Linked DNA regions of Macaca mulatta. Each later gene encodes a partner of the first gene's protein in a complex. Links are inferred from orthologs where the notes say so. Each region holds a gene or a part of one and is shown in the gene's direction. Other genes may lie near its edges.

What was found. Proteins that work in one complex are often made in the same cells at the same time.
Region 2: the proteins of SIKE1 (region 1) and SLMAP are in contact, whole or in part, in a crystal structure (PDB 6AKM), measured with the Homo sapiens proteins. The link is inferred for Macaca mulatta from reciprocal best matches to the Homo sapiens genes SIKE1 and SLMAP. Residues at the interface, in NP_079349.2 of Homo sapiens: Ile5, Ile8, Leu9, Ala12, Lys13, Leu16, Leu19, Arg20, His22, Asp23, Ala26, Glu27, Leu29, Val30, Ser33, Ala34, Leu36, His37, Val40, Met43, Arg44; in NP_001291349.1 of Homo sapiens: Leu168, Tyr171, Leu172, Glu174, Ala175, Arg178, Glu179, Met181, Leu182, Lys185, Thr188, Leu189, Leu192, Leu193, Ile195, Thr196, Ala199, Ser200, Thr202, Ser203.

What each region holds. Positions count from the first base shown.
Region 1 is NC_133406.1:125,470,522-125,478,799, forward strand, and holds the start of SIKE1 (suppressor of IKBKE 1), read left to right. Parts: upstream 1-3,889; 5' UTR 3,890-3,950; coding exon 3,951-4,109; coding exon of another isoform or gene 4,110-4,121; intron 4,122-4,342; coding exon 4,343-4,448; intron 4,449-5,272; coding exon 5,273-5,415; intron 5,416-8,278.
Region 2 is NC_133407.1:121,400,145-121,407,813, forward strand, and holds part of SLMAP (sarcolemmal membrane-associated protein), read left to right. Parts: intron 1-1,853; coding exon 1,854-1,949; intron 1,950-2,208; coding exon 2,209-2,280; intron 2,281-4,838; coding exon 4,839-4,979; intron 4,980-6,104; coding exon 6,105-6,242; intron 6,243-7,669. UniProt on the Homo sapiens protein: Associates with the striatin-interacting phosphatase and kinase (STRIPAK) core complex, forming the extended (SIKE1:SLMAP)STRIPAK complex.

The sequences.
Region 1 (8,278 bases):
TATATACCCAAAGGATTATAAATCATTCTACTATAAAGACACATGCACATGTATGTTTATTGCAGCACTATTTACAATAGCAAATATTTGGAACCAACCCACATGCCCATCAGTGACAGACTGGATAAAGAAAATGTGGCACATATACACCATGGAATACTATGGAGCCATAAAAAAGAATGACTTCACCTGGACAAAGTGGCTCATGCCTATGATCCCCAGGACTTTGGGAGGCTGAGGCAGCCAGATCACCTGAGGTTGGGAGTTTGAGACCAGTCTGACCAACATGGAGAAACCCTGTCTCTATTAAAAATACAAATGCCTGTAATCCTAACTACCTGGGAGGCTGAGGCAGGAGAATCGCTTGAACCTAGGAGGCAGAGGTTGCAGTAAGCTGAGATTGCGCCATTGCACTCCAGCCTGGGCAACAAGAGTGAAACTCTTGTCTCCAAAAAAAAAAAAAAAGAAGAATGAGTTCATGTCCTTTGCAGGGACATGGATGAAGCTAGAAACCATCATCCTCAGCAAACTAACACAAGAACAGAAAACCCAACACCAAATGTTCTCACTCATAAGTGGGAGTTGAACAATAAGAATGCATGGACACAGGGAGGGGAACATCTCACACTGGGGCCTGTCGGCAGGTGGTGGGCAGGGGGAGGGACAGCATTAGGACAAATACCCAATGCATGTGGGGCTTAAAACCTAGATGATGGGTTCATAGGTGCAGCAAACCACCATGGCACATGTATACCTATGTAACAAACCTACATGTTCTGCACATGTATCCCAGAACTTAAAGTAAAATAAAAGTAAAAATAATGAATGATTCCCTAGGTTTAAATAAGGTTTTCCTAAGGTATTGGTTTACTCTTAATGAAATTAAAGGAACTTTTGCTTTTTAATTCTATCACCTATTTCTTTTCAAAACTTCTCAGATTCATATCTTAGACGTTCAACTTTTGTTGTGCCTGCTGTTTTCAGCTTTTTCCTCCCTTTGAAAAGGACTCTTCAACTTTTTCCATCAGCTCCTCTAATTTTTTCCTCTGATTCCAACTGTTGGGGCCTGATGCTGAAATGTTTTATCTTAGAATTCTATAAAAGCATTGTTTTCCTCCAATATAACTTGATTCTGTACTCTTGGCTTTTCTTGATAAGTGTGATTTTCATTGTAATCAGAAAACTTCTGACACAATTGCTCAGAGTGGTGTATTCCCTTGCTGTACTCATAATCGTGAATACGCTCTTGTGTCTGATTAAATTCAAGCACTTTTTTCAAGTCTGACTTTCAGGTTATCTGCATGGTCTTCCCATAAGGAGAAGCAGTCACACAGCAGAAGGGGTTTTTTGCCTGTGTAGTAACTTGCTTAAGAAACAAGATTTTTATGTTTTATCAAGATAATTCCCATGCTCTCTTTAACTGGTTTTTAATTGCCTAGAAAAACTGAGAGTTAAAAGGGTTCGGGTTTTTATGTGCAGGTAACCTTCTGAATTGCCTTTAAAGTCTTTAATTATCAGTTTGGTTAAATGAGTAACCATTTAACCAAATTTATTAATAAAAATAAATACATTATTTTTACAATGAATATTATCCTGTTTTGATCAAATGTTTTGAGACTTTTGAAATCTTTGACAGATGTCCTCAAAATCAAAATCATAAATTAAGTCTCTGACTTATTGCTAGGGTTTATCAAAGCTATAAAAGTTACTCACTGCAAGGTTGTAAAATCTTTTTACAGCTTTCAGTCAGGTCATAGACTCCAGTATCACACCTCCAGCTCCTTGAAAAGGTCCTTATCAGGTGATATTAACTAATCCTTGTGCTTTCAAGTTACAGGGCTTTACACATATCTCATCCAAAGAAGGCACCAACTCCTGCCAGTATCTGACACTAAACTGCAGTTAACCAAAGCCTCATCTTTAGACTCAGGCAAAGGCGACAAAGTAAACTGCTTTCATGAGACACAGGGACAGTCTTGTGTTCAAAAATATTAAGATTCACTTAACAATTTTGCCTCTATCTGAACTAATGTAATGTATTCTGTGCCTTGATAGTAAATAATTTAAGTGTTTAGCTCCGTATGAACTTTCTTTCCTGTTACTCTCAAAACTAGGCAGGGTTTATGACCTTTGTGTTTGAAAAGTTGTTAATTCTTTCTGTTTTGTTTTACCTACAATAGTTGAAACTCTTCAATCCCCTCAGGCCTAGAGACTATAACATAATGTTGTAAGGGCCAGTATTGAGGGCTAAAATCAGTTCAGACCCTACAAATCAAGGATGACACACAGATGCCAAAACAGCTGAACAAAATGCTTGCATTTCATATAGCTAATTGCAGCAAGCCAAGATTACAGCAGCTCAATGCATAGAATTTATAGATAAGTCAATTTTGTAACCTTGCCTTTTGGTTTTTGGTTTTTGGCTCTTAACATTGCTTAAGAGGAGTTTTAAGGTTAATGAGTGCCTGCCCACCTCCTTCCCCATCTGGCCTAGAATGTTTAATTGGCTGTAACTCTTTTGACTCTAAGTCGGTTGGCCGCAGGAGTGACATGATGGACTCAGGGCAGGTAGCACACCACCCTGGCATTGATATGGGACAAAATTAAAGTTTGGACACTGATACTGTCTCTGGGATACGTTGACAAAAAAAAAAAAAAAAAAAAGCGGAATGCTGTTTTGAAGGCATGAGTGTAGCCATTCCCCATCTGCGAGCGTTTGATTAGTAAAACTGCTTTCCTTTCATCATCAGTCACTTCTCATGATTTTGGCCTCTAGGCAACAAACAGCCAGACGTGAGCCAGTTGTAATAGCAGCATTATTTACAATAGCAAAAGGCGGAAGCAACCCAACTGTCCAGCGGATGAATGGATAAACAAAACGTGGCATATACATATTATTCAGCCTTAAAAAGGAAGAACATTCTAACATATGCTACTGTGTGGATGAAACTCGTGGACATTACGCTAAGTGAAACAAGGCAGTTATATGAATATAAATGCTGTATGATTTCACTCACGTCAGGTACCCAGAATAGTCAGATTTGTAGAGACAAAGTAGAATGGTGGTTGCCAGGGGCTGGGGATAAGGAAGAATGAGGAGTTATTGTTTAAAGAGTGCAGAACTTCAGTACTGCAAGACGAAGGAGTTCTAGAAATGGATGCTGATGGTGGCTGTATAACCATATGAATATACTACTGAACTGTACACTTAAAAATGGCTGAGATATTAAATTTTATGTGCATTTTGCCACAATTTTTTAAAACTTAAATGAAAGTAGGCCAGGCGCAGTGGTTCACACCAACACTTTGGGAGGCCGAGGCAGGCAGATCACTTGAGGTCAGGAGTTCAAAACCAGCCTGGCCAACATGTGAAACCCCGTTTCTACTAAAAATAGAAAAATTAGCCGGCATGGTGGTGCATGCCTGTAATCCCAGCTACTCGGGAGGCTGAGGCAGGAGAATCGCTTGAACCCGGGAGCCATAGGTTGCAGTGAGCCAAGATCGCGCCACTGCACTGCAGTCTGGGCGACAAGAGCAAGATACCAAGATACCGTCTCAAAAACGAAAAAAAATAAATAAAAATTAAATGAAAATAAAAAGAAAATAACTGTGACTGAATAACAATCCACATCAATGAAAACCAGTGGGGAAAGGAGACCTTCCTTCTGCCCAGCTCATCATGGCCTGACCACCAGGCTGTGGCAACTGGAAACCAAGAGCGTGGTAAGGGCAGGTCTGGGGCTCCGCGTCAGGCAGGACTGCAAGGAAGCCACAGGTAAAAGCGGGTGAACCCGCAAAATAGGGTGCCACTGCGCAGGCGCCTCTTGCGTCTGCCAAGACACCTTTTAAACGTGCCCGGAAGTGACGCCAGTAATGCTGAGACAGACTCCCAGAAGATCTGAGCGAGTCGCGTAGCTGAGCCCGGCAGGGGCTGGGGTTGTGCTGCTGCTATGAGCTGCACCATCGAGAAGATCCTGACAGACGCCAAGACGCTTCTGGAGAGGCTGCGGGAGCACGATGCGGCTGCCGAGTCGCTGGTGGATCAGTCGGCAGCGCTGCACCGGCGGGTAGCCGCTATGCGGGAGGCGGGGACAGCGCTTCCGGACCAGGTCAGGCAGAGGGTAGGAGTCCAGTGCTCTCGGATTCTGGGCACTGAAGGGTGGAGAGCGAGGTAAAGTGGGAACTCGGCCTGAAATTTATTCCCGGTCTCAGAGGGCGGCGGTGAGACCTTTTTCCTGGGTCGGAGCTGAGAATCCTGCCCTAGAGCCCTGACTTCTGCCACTTGAGTTGCATCTGCCGCTGTTCTCTTTAAGGCATGCTTAGACTGTCTCTATTTGTCCAGTATCAAGAGGATGCATCCGATATGAAGGACATGTCCAAATACAAACCTCACATTCTGCTGTCTCAAGAGAACACACAGATTAGAGACTTGCAACAGGAAAACAGAGGTTAGTCAGGCCTTTTCATATCTGGTAATAGTTTAAAGTTACTGCAAAATTGCCCTAAACATTCACAAGGGTGTGCATCTATTTCCAGGTCAGTACTTTTCGTAGGAGAGTCCTCCTGTGCTGGCTCAGTAACAGTAAAGTTTGTTAGATTACCCATTTCAAGGTCATCTGACTGATTTTGTAGCAGCTTACCAAAGAGGGGCTATGTAGAGTTAGAATTATTGCATGGTTTATTTTTAAGCATCTCCAGATGTGTAACAAAAGAGTTCATATCCTCATGGACTTAAAATTTAATGTTTAAATATTAATATAAACACTGAAGGTAAGATTTAAGGTTTTGTTTATGTTCTTGTTTGTGCAAGGTGAAGCAGCAGAATTTTACTCTAAGGGTATATATTCTTAGGCTTGATTAGTACATTATTAATGACTGTAGTATTAATAGTTGTTTACCAGAGGGGTTTCACATATATCATTCTACTGTATTCTCATATCTTCATTTTTATCTATCACAATGCTGTTAAGAAATAGGCTCAGAGAAGCTAAATGATTTACTTATGAGTATTAACCAAGCAAGTTACAGAACTGAACTCAAATCCATGTCTTCTGATGACATATCCGTTGTTGTTACTGCAAGATTTTGCTTCTCTGCCTAGAAAGTTACCTTTAACATAGACTTTAACTGCTCAGTTTTGTAGACTGAAACATTGATTTACAACCTTGGATTCATATTATCTCTATAGTATTGCAAAATTCTAACTGTTAAGACTTTGGATTTGGGAACTGTCTCTCAGACATCACTGCCAAGTTATTTTATTTTTTGACAGAGCTGTGGATTTCCTTGGAGGAACACCAGGATGCTTTGGAGCTCATCATGAGCAAGTACCGGAAACAGATGTTACAGTTAATGGTTGCTAAAAAAGCTGTGGATGCCGAACCAGTCCTGAAAGCTCACCAGTCTCACTCTGCAGTAAGAAACTTCGAATAAATTTGAAATGAACCAAATTGAAATCTTGAGATTGTTTTAGATTGTGTGCTTGTTTTTTTGCTTTTTGAGACAGGGTCTGGCTCTGTCGACCAGGCTGTGGTGTAATGGCACGATCTCAGCTCACTGCAACCTCTGCCTTCTGGGGTCAAGCCATCCTCTCACCTCTGCCTCCTGAGCAGCTGGGACTACAGGTGCACACCACCATGCCCTGTTAATTTTTGTGGGGTTTTTTATTATTATTATTATTATTTTTTTTTTTTTTTGTAGAGATGAGGTTTCGCCATGTTGCCCAGGCTGGTCTGAAACTCCTGGGCTCAAGCGATCAACCCACGTTAGCCTTCCAAAGTGCTGGGATTATAGGCATGAGCCACTGTGACTGGCCATGTGTGCTTGTTTTTGAAGAAAAGTAAGCTTGTTTTCCTTTCATGTTTATCATATTTGTTGTTTATTTTGCCATGGCTTTGTAAAGATATGAATAGAAAGAAGGATAGTGGTTGCTCAGGTCCTTTTATTTGAATGGGACTAACGTTCCCCCTCCCTCACCAAGATCTCTTTTGAAAATGTTCATTAATTCTTAGCCCTCACACCAAACGTAATGTCAGTTAGTGTTGAAGGTGCCCAGTAAATACTTGGTTGGTTATTATACATTTCACTTAAGCTCCTTGGTTGTGAGGCACTTGAATTCACATTTTATTCCTAACATAGTACCTGACATATAGCAAGCAGTCAATAAACCTTTTATAAACTGAACCACATAGCATCATACTATGTTATTAGGGGATAGAAGTATGGTTTTTAAAAAAAACAAACATGGCATAGTTTCTATGCTTTGATTGCTTATTATCTAATTTGGGAGACTCGGTAATTGTTCTTATGTTTGTAGGTGCTTCATGGTTGTCATTGTACATTCGTGTGTACTGTGTCATTTAATTCTAGATGTATAAGTTGGAGCCTACTACTTCTGTGAGATGTAGTGAAATATAAGCTTCATCTTAAATTACATTGAATGCATTTTACTGACTTAAAAGTTTTAGGAAACAGATATTTTAAATATTTGAATGGCTTTCAACTGGAAGAGAAAAATAGATTTTATTTATTCTCATATGGAGGAAAAAACCTGAACTTTGAAAGAGACAGTTTACTCAGATAGATAAACTTTCTAAGTGATATGTCCAAAGATAGAATAAGGCACCTTGGAATGTAGTAAGCTTCCTGCCAGTGAAAGTATTCAAATTTAAGTTAAACAGCCACTTAGAGGTAGTATCCAACATCCAATGGGTAGTTAAACTACAACTGATTTTTTTTTCCGTTTCAAATATTTTTATTGGAGGGTGGACCTATTGGGTGATTGATGCACTGGACATAGATAATTTTCAGAAATGAAAATAACATTGCTTGCATCAGATCAGATTTCACCCACAGAAATGACTAAGGCCTTATCAGAGTTGGCATTGGATGAAAACTTAATCCTTTATGGAAAGGGAATCATCTGGCCTTCTATTTCTGAAATAGACTAAAGATTACTCATTTATTCTCTGCAATTACAGCCATCAGATCCTTTGAAATCTTGGAAGGTGTGAGAAGATAACATGACTGTAACACAAATCCATATCGAAGAGCCCAGTATTTAAAAATTCCCCATGTTCACATACTGAAGGGTTACTTATGAGCTGATGCATATCACTGATAACCATAGGATTATCAACTTGATGTCTGGGCAAAGAGTGAAAACAGAAAATGCATTCTACTCTTCACTTCTTGGTTTTAAATATAAGAAACATTATATATTTGTTTAAAAACTGTATCCCTGGCCAGGCGCGGTGGCTCAAGCCTGTAATCCCAGCACTTTGGGAGGCCGAGACGGGCGGATCACGAGGTCAGGAGATCGAGACCATCCTGGCTAACACGGTGAAACCCCGTCTCTGCTAAAAATACAAGAAAATTAGCCGGGCGAGGTGGCGGGCGCCTGTAGTCCCAGCTACTCGGGAGGCTGAGGCAGGAGAATGGCGTGAACCCGGGAGGCGGAGCTTGCAGTGAGCCGAGATCGCGCCACTGCACTCCAGCCTGGGGCACAGAGCAAGACTCCGTCTCAAAAAATAAAAAATAAAAAAATAAAAACTGTATCCCTTAGTAATGGTATCAATAGAACATATACAACTGGAATGAGGATCCCCTTAAGGAGGCCTTCTTTTTTTTATTTAAGTTCTAGGGTACATGTGCAAAACGTGCAGGTTTGTTACATATGTATACATGTGCCATGATGGTGTGCTGCACCCATTAACTCGTCATTTACATTAGATATTCCTCCTAATGCTATCCCTCCCCACTCTCCCCACCCTACGACAGGCCCCAGTGTGTGATGTTCCCCACCCTGTGTCCAAGTGTTCTCATTGTTCATTTCCCACCTATGAGTGAGAATATGTGGTGTTTGGTTTTCTGTCCTTGCGATAGTTTTCTCAGAATGATGGTTTCCAGCTTCATCCATGTCCCTACAAAGGACATGAACTCATCATTTTTTATGGCTGCATAGTATTCCATGGTGTATATGTGCCACATTTTCTTAATCTAGTCTATCATTGATGGATATTTGGGTTGGTTCCAAGTCATTGCTATTGTGAATAGTGCCGCAATAAACATATGTGTGCATGTGTCTTTATAGTAGCATGATTTATAATCCTTTGGGTATATATCCAGTAGTGGGATGGCTGGGTGAAATGGTATTTCTAGTTGTGGATCCTTGAGGAATCGCCACACTGTCTTGCACAATTGATTTTTTGGAAAAAAAAAAATTATCTGTGAATACCACAAGATCACTTTACTATGGCTTTATGTCTAAGGACTAAAA
Region 2 (7,669 bases), on another chromosome or scaffold:
AAGCTCAGGAATTTGAGATTACAGTGAGCCATCACTTAGTGACATCATCATGCAACTGCACTCCAGCCTGGGTGACAGAGCTAGACTCTGGTCTCAAGAAAAAAAAGTTTTTCTTTCTTCTATAATAAGCTAAACTTAGCTTACTATAACTTTTTTTACTTTATACACTTACAAGTTTTAAAACTTCTTTGACTCTTGTATTCACACTTAGCTTAAAACACAAACACATAGTACAGCTGTTCAAAAATACTGTTTTTGGCCGGGCGCGGTGGCTCACGCCTGTAATCCCAGCACTTTGGGAGGCCGAGGCGAGTGGATCATGAGGTCAGGAGATCCAGACCATCCTGGCTACACAGGTGAAACCCGGTCTCTACTAAAAATATAAAAAATTAGCCGGGCATAGTGGCGGGTGCCTGTAGTCCCAGCTACTTGAGAGGCTGAGGCAGGAGAATGGCGTGAACCCGGGAGGCGGAGCTTGCAGTGAGCGGAGACTGTGCCACTGCACTCCAGCCTGGGCGACAGTCAGACTCCGTCTCAAAAAAAAAAAAAAAAAAAAAAAAATTGTTTCTATTCTTAAATTATAAGCTTTTTATTAAAAATGTTTTAAACTTGTTTTTACTTTTTAAACGTTTTTGTTATAAATGAAGACATAAACACACACGTTAGCCTAGGCCTACACAATATCAAGATCATCAGTATCACTCTCTTCCACCTCCACATCCTATCCCACTGAAAGGTCTCCAGGGGCAGTAACATGCATGGAGCTGTCATCTCCTGTGATAACAGTGCCTTCTTCAGGATACCTCCTAAAGGACCTCTCTGAAGGTATTTTACAGTTAACCTTTTTTTCTTTTTAGTAAGCAGAAGGAATATATAATTAACAACAAAAAGTATAGTACATGCATAAACTAATAACAGTCATAGAATACTATTATGTATTATGTACTATATATAATTATATGTGCTATACTTTTATATAACTGGCAGCACAGTAGGTTTGTTTACACCAACATCTCAAACACATGAGTAATGCCCCTTTGTGTTACAGTGTTAGGATGGCTATGATGTCACTAAGCGACAGAAATTTTTCAGCTTCATTATAATTTTTTGGGACTACTGTGTATATGCAGTCTGTAGTTGACTGAAATGTTGTTTTGTGGTGCATGACTTGTATATGTGTGTGTGTATGTATAGGTATATGTCTATATACACACTGTGTATTAGCTTTTTCTATTGTATGTTTTTAAAAACTTGCTTTTCCAAATTATGCATAAAAAGAAAACAAAAACAGGTGACTTGTTTTCTATTAGGGGAGAAGTTGCAGTTAGAGAACCTCTAATGGCGGTACTTTCAGCTCAACAAATGAGACTAAAATGATGTGGCCCATATACATAAAGTAGTCATTTCCTATTTGCAGGGAATATGTTCCATGACCCCCAGTAGATGCCTGAAATCACAGATAGTGCCAAACTCTGTATCTACTATGTTTTTTCCTATATATACACATAGCTATGATAAAGTTTAACTTATAAATTAAGCATAGTAAGAAATTAACAATAATAATAGAACAATTACAACAGTATACTGTTACGTGAATAAAAGTTATGTGAATGTCAACATTCTGTCTGTCTCTCTCAGTGTATCTTGTACTGCACTATAACTGAAACTGGAAAGGGAAACCAGAGATAAGCAGGGACTGCTGTATATTTTACTAAGTACTATCAAGTGTCACATACTTTAAAATACATCAAGGGGGATGTCATATGAAAATATTTTAGAATGTGCTGAAAATTGATCACTCAAAAGAATCATGATGAGCTTATTGGAATCTCTTTTGTGATTTGTAATACTAGGAGGCCTTACATCGGGAACAAATGTTGGAACAGAAGTTAGCCACGCTTCAGCGGCTACTAGCCATCACCCAAGAGGCTTCAGATACCAGTTGGCAGGTATTCCAGTTGTTTTATATTTAAGAAACATTTAAACATAGTTTAATATTCCATACATGTTAAATAAACTAAAATGTAGCAAACAAAGACAAAGTTATTTCCTAACTAATGAACAAGTTGTTGAAAATTTAGCATTTTACAGTGGATGCTGGTCAGTTTTATGCTTTTATATCTTTTGTTGTCAGTAGCAACCTTTTTTTATATACATGTGACTTTATAATTACTCGGGTTTTACTTACGTTTAATTTTTCTTCAATAGGCTTTAATAGATGAAGATAGACTCTTATCACGGTTAGAAGTTATGGGAAACCAATTACAGGCATGCTCCAAAGTAGGTATTAATCTCAAATGTGTAAAATGAAATGCATAGTTTTTTATGTAACATCATTTCCTTGACTGTCATTTTGAGTATATGCTAAAAACTTTATACATTTCCACAATTCTTTTAAATCTTTTGTCATGAGAAATTTCAGACATCCATGTAAATAAAAATAATTATGTAATGAATACCCACATACACATCTGTCTTTTTTCTATTACAATTAATATTTCTTGAAAAAACTGGGTCATTTGTCCTCTAGAATTTCCCTCAGTCTGCATTGTTATTTAAACATTTTTTAGCACCCCTTCCCACTGCATAAATTAGTAGTTTCATCTAGAGATTTGATCTGATTTAGGTTTAGTTTTTCTTTTTGTCAACAACCCTTTATGGATGGTATTGTGTTCTTCCACCAAGGGACAACATAAAGTCTAGTTGTCTTTCTTTTTGAGATGTTATCAATCACTAATGATCCCAGCCTAGTCCATTGTTTCATTAAGGTTACAAAAATAAGGCTGGGCTCAGTGGCTCACTCCTGTAATCCCAGCCCTTTGGGAAGCTGAGGCAGGCGGATCACCTGAGCTCAAGAGTTCAAGACCAGCCTGACCAACATGGAGAAATCCCATCACTACTAAAACAAAATTAGCCAAACATGGTGGCACATGCCTGTAATCTCAGGTACTCGGGAGGCTGAGGCAGGAGAATCCCTTGAACCTGGCAGGCAGAGGTTGCAATGAGCCGAGACTGTGCCATTGCACTGTAGCCTGAGCAACAAGAGTGAAACTGTCTCAACAACAACAACCACCACAAAAAAAAGTTACAAAAATAGTGATGTAATTCTGTTATTCCTTCACTCATTTAGCTGGGTTACTTCTGTAAAGAGAAGTTTCCTTCCAGACACAGTGGCTCATGCCTGTAATCCCAGCACTTTGGGAGGCCGACGCAGGCGTATCACTTGAGGTCAGGCATTCAAAACCAGCATGGCCAACATGGCGAAACCCCATCTCTACTAAAAATACAAAAATTAGCTGGACATGGTGGTATGTACCTGTAATCCCAGCTACTCGAGAGGCTGAGACAGGAGAATTGCTTAAACCTTCGGGGGTAGAGGTTGCAGTGAGCCAAGATCACCTCTGAACTCCAGCCTGGGCGACAGAGCGAGACGTCTCAAAAAAAAAAAAAAAAAAAAAAAGCGGGGACAGTTTGAGACCAGTATGGGCAACATGGCAAAACCCAGTCTCTACCAAAAATTAAATATTTGCTTAGCATGGTGGTACATACCTATAGTCCTAGCTACTTGGGAGGCTTAGGTGGAAGGATCACTTGAGCCCAGGAGTTTGTGATTACAATGAGTTATGTTTGCAGAACTGCACTCCAGCCTTGGTGACAAAGAGAGACCCTGTCTCTAAAAAAACAAAAAAAGGAAAAAACAATGGCCATTGTTTTTTGTGACTCTGGCGTCAAAAACCAAATACCAAATGTTCTCATTTATAAGTAGAAGGTAAGCTATAGTTATGCAAAGGCATACAGAGTGGTATGATGGACATTGGAGACTCAGAAGTTGGGAAAGTGAGAGGGGAGTGAGGGATGAAAAACTCCCTATTGAATACAATATACACTACTCAGGTGATGAGTGCATTAAAACCCCAGACAACACCACTACATAATTTATCCATGTAACCAAAAACCGCTTGTATCCCTAAAGCTATTGGAATAAAAAAATTTAAATAACCCTGAGGTATGTTTTTTATGGGGAAAGCAAGATAAGTGATTTTCTCCCCTTATTTATTAGATTTCAGAATAATGAATTGGTTCTTTTTCATCTACCAAAGACTGGCCATGAAGTGTTTTCTCCCTTCACTTAGATTTAAACACATTTGATGTATTTAAATCTGGTGCAGTTGTTTTTCTTGTTTTAGAGACAGGGTCTTACTGTGTTGCCCAGGCTAGTCTTGAACTCCTGAGCTCATGCAGTCCTCCCATCTCGGCCTCCCAAAGTGCTGGGATTACAGGCTTGAACCACTGCGGCCAGCCTATTTTTCTTATTGATGCTCGAATTATCCCATCTTTGGTCTGTGTAAATGTCTTTCAGATTGATAGCTTCATGCTGTCATTTCAGACAAGATGTTTCAGGCTCATTTTGTACATTTCCTGCCCCAGACATGAAGTCTGCTTTTCCCCTATGGTACGCTTATTCTTTTTGTTTTAACCATTGTTTTAAAATGCTTGGTGCCTTTGAAGGTAATTGATTATTTTTGCCTACAAATGTAAATATGGGAATTTGCAGAAAATATGACAAATATAAGAGTAATTAATTTTGTATATTTTAGAGAAATTCTTAATTGCCTATAACTTTTTTTTCTATAGGAAGTGGAAATTAATATGTTTATGAAGGCATAATTTACTTATGCAACTTTTAAATACATCTTTAGTTAATACAGGGCCAGCATCATTTGTGTTTGGAGGTACCTTAATATACAATTTAAAGTATGTCATAATGTGTTAATTTTTCTCAAACAAATGCTTTAAAAAAATAACTTGTCTATAATTATAAATATATTTTATTCTAGAATCAAACAGAAGATAGTTTACGAAAGGAACTTATAGCATTACAAGAGGATAAACATAACTATGAGACAACAGCCAAAGAGTCCCTGAGGCGGGTTCTTCAGGAGAAAATTGAAGTGGTTAGAAAACTTTCAGAAGTTGAGGTATTTCAATTAAAAAAAATTACTAAATAATGTTATGAGTGTTTAAAAAAATCTCAAGCATTCCAGGATACTTTAAACATGGGTATTATTATATAGTTAGGAAATATTTTCTGTCTGTCAGGTGGGAAGGAACAGTTATGCTGCTTTCATTGACAGGAATTCTCCACATAACCATGTGAGTTTTGGTACTTATGCTCCCTAGTCAATGGCTGAGGAAATAAAAACGTAACCAGGGAATCTTACTGTTTGCATTCTGCTTAGGATTCACCCTCCATACAGCAGACCATGATATGTGCTGGGGAACTGATTTCCTGTCACTTGGTTTTGCTTTGCTTCTATTTGAGGGTGGTCAGTGTAAGGCCAAGAGACTACACTTCTTGTTCTTTTTTAATTCACTCTCCAGAGAGGAAAACTAGCTGTGTCGTATATTTAGGAAGTTTAAAGGTAAATTCATCTCCAAGGTCCTTTCTAGGTCTTTAAGGAACAATGAAAATGCAATTTTTATTGCTTTGGGGGCAAAAACTCTTAATTCCTAATATAGATCATTTCTTTGAACCAATGCAAAATTACCACATACATAATGTATTACTAGAATTAGTTAAAATGCTCATCAGAAACTAAATGGTAAACATACCTTTCCTTACTACTACAGGTATAGTTTGTATTGCTTCCTCATCCCATAGTGCCTGATTCACTGTTGTGTGATTAATTTGACATATAAAGAAAGAAAGTTACTAATTGTCTTTTAATTTTTTATTAAATTAATTGCTGGATATTATTAAACTTGCTTTCAAGGATTGATAGGCTAAAATATTTTCACAGCTAAAAGTCATACCCATTGGCCTTTCAAAAATGTAATTATATAATGGCAGCATCCTTTTCCTGCCCCTACTCTCCCTCCACTTTTCTTTTTTGTTGTTGTTGTTAATTCTTAGGTACGTTTTCTGTTTTAGTGTATACCTGAAGTAAATTGAAATTCTTTAACTCAGCTTTATAAAGTCCAGGGCAGATGTTGATTTAGAATAGTCCATAGAATTATACTTTTTATAAATTTAATTTAGAAGGAATTCTAAATAACAAATATACACTTATTCTAATTAAATTGCCTGTAAACTTGAATCGCAGCGAAGTCTGAGTAATACTGAAGATGAATGTACCCATCTGAAAGAAATGAATGAAAGGACTCAGGAAGAATTAAGAGAATTAGCCAATAAATATAATGGAGCAGTTAATGAGATTAAAGATTTATCTGATAAATTAAAGGTATGTATTTACTCTGCCTGAAAGTATGTTAAGCTAATAATCCCTAACATACTGGATAGCTTAAGGTTTTAGGTATTGCTTTAGCTAGGCATGGTGGTGGTCGCCTGTAATCCCAGCTTTTCCGGAGGCTGAGGTGGGAGAATTGCTTGAACACAGGAGACAGAGGTTGCAGCGAGCCAAGATCATGTCACTGCACTCCAGCCTGGGCGACAGAGCGATAGATACTCCATCTCAAAGGAAAAATAAACAAACAAAAAACAGTTTGGGCTGGGTGCAGTGGCTCATGCCTGTAATCCCAGCACTTTGGGAGGCGGAAGCAGGCAGATCATGAGGTCAAGAGATTGAGACCATCCTGGCCAACATAGTGAAACCCTGTCTCTACTAAAAATGCAAAAATTAGCTGGGCATGCGCCCCTATTCCCAGCTCCTTGGGAGTCTAAGACAGGAGAATCACTTGAACCCGGGAAGCAGAGGTTTCAGTGAGCTGAGATTGCGCCACTGCATTCCAGCCTGGCAACAGAGCAAGACTTCGTCTCACAAAAAAGAAAAAAAAAGTTTGAAAACCGTTGGTATAGATAGCTATTTTGAATTGATTTGCATAGTCTCCTTGAATGTGTTAAATTATGCTGAAAGTATGAAAGCAGGATGTAGGTGGTACTACATATTAAATAAGAGTTCTATAAAAGATTTTAGGTATTGCTGAATAGTTATTGATGTAAAAATTTGATAACAGTTGAAATTTATAGTGAAAAGAAGGTGTCTGTATTCCATTTAGCCCAACCTCCATTACTATAGATAATTGAAAGCCTGTAAATGCTGACATAGTTCCTCTGGATGAATATGTAGTCAGTGCTTCACAATAGACATTTTAAAAATATGTAACAGGAAGTAGATGAGAATCGGCAAACCCCATGATATTCAGATGTTTTAAAACCTAAAACTGCGTATCATTAGGCCATCTAAAAGGCACGGCCCAGCTATTTAGTGCTGTGCTGGAACAAGCCCAGAGAGAATCTGGGAATGATCTGTTCCCTTTTAGCTTTCAGGGATGCTGTTAACTCTGCTTTAGATGCCTATGAGACATTTAGAATAAGGACAGATCAGATCATAGGGTAATGATAGAGTAATGTCTAGTTGGTCCTTTAGAATCTTATAACTGAGAAAAAAAAATCTTATAACTGTTTGTGAAGATCTATCTTGATTTAATTCAAACCATGGATTGAGTGCCTAGAAGATACATGTTTGTTAGAGAAGACCAGAGCATACCTCCTTTGGTTAACCTATGATAGTTTTCAAAGTTGGTCTTGTTAAAAGGAGATTGTCGTCGTCCATTTGTGTTGCCATAAAGGAATAGCTGAGACTGGGTAATTTATAAAGATAAGAGGTTTATTTGGGTCACAGTTCTGCAGGTTGAAGCTTCAGGCTGC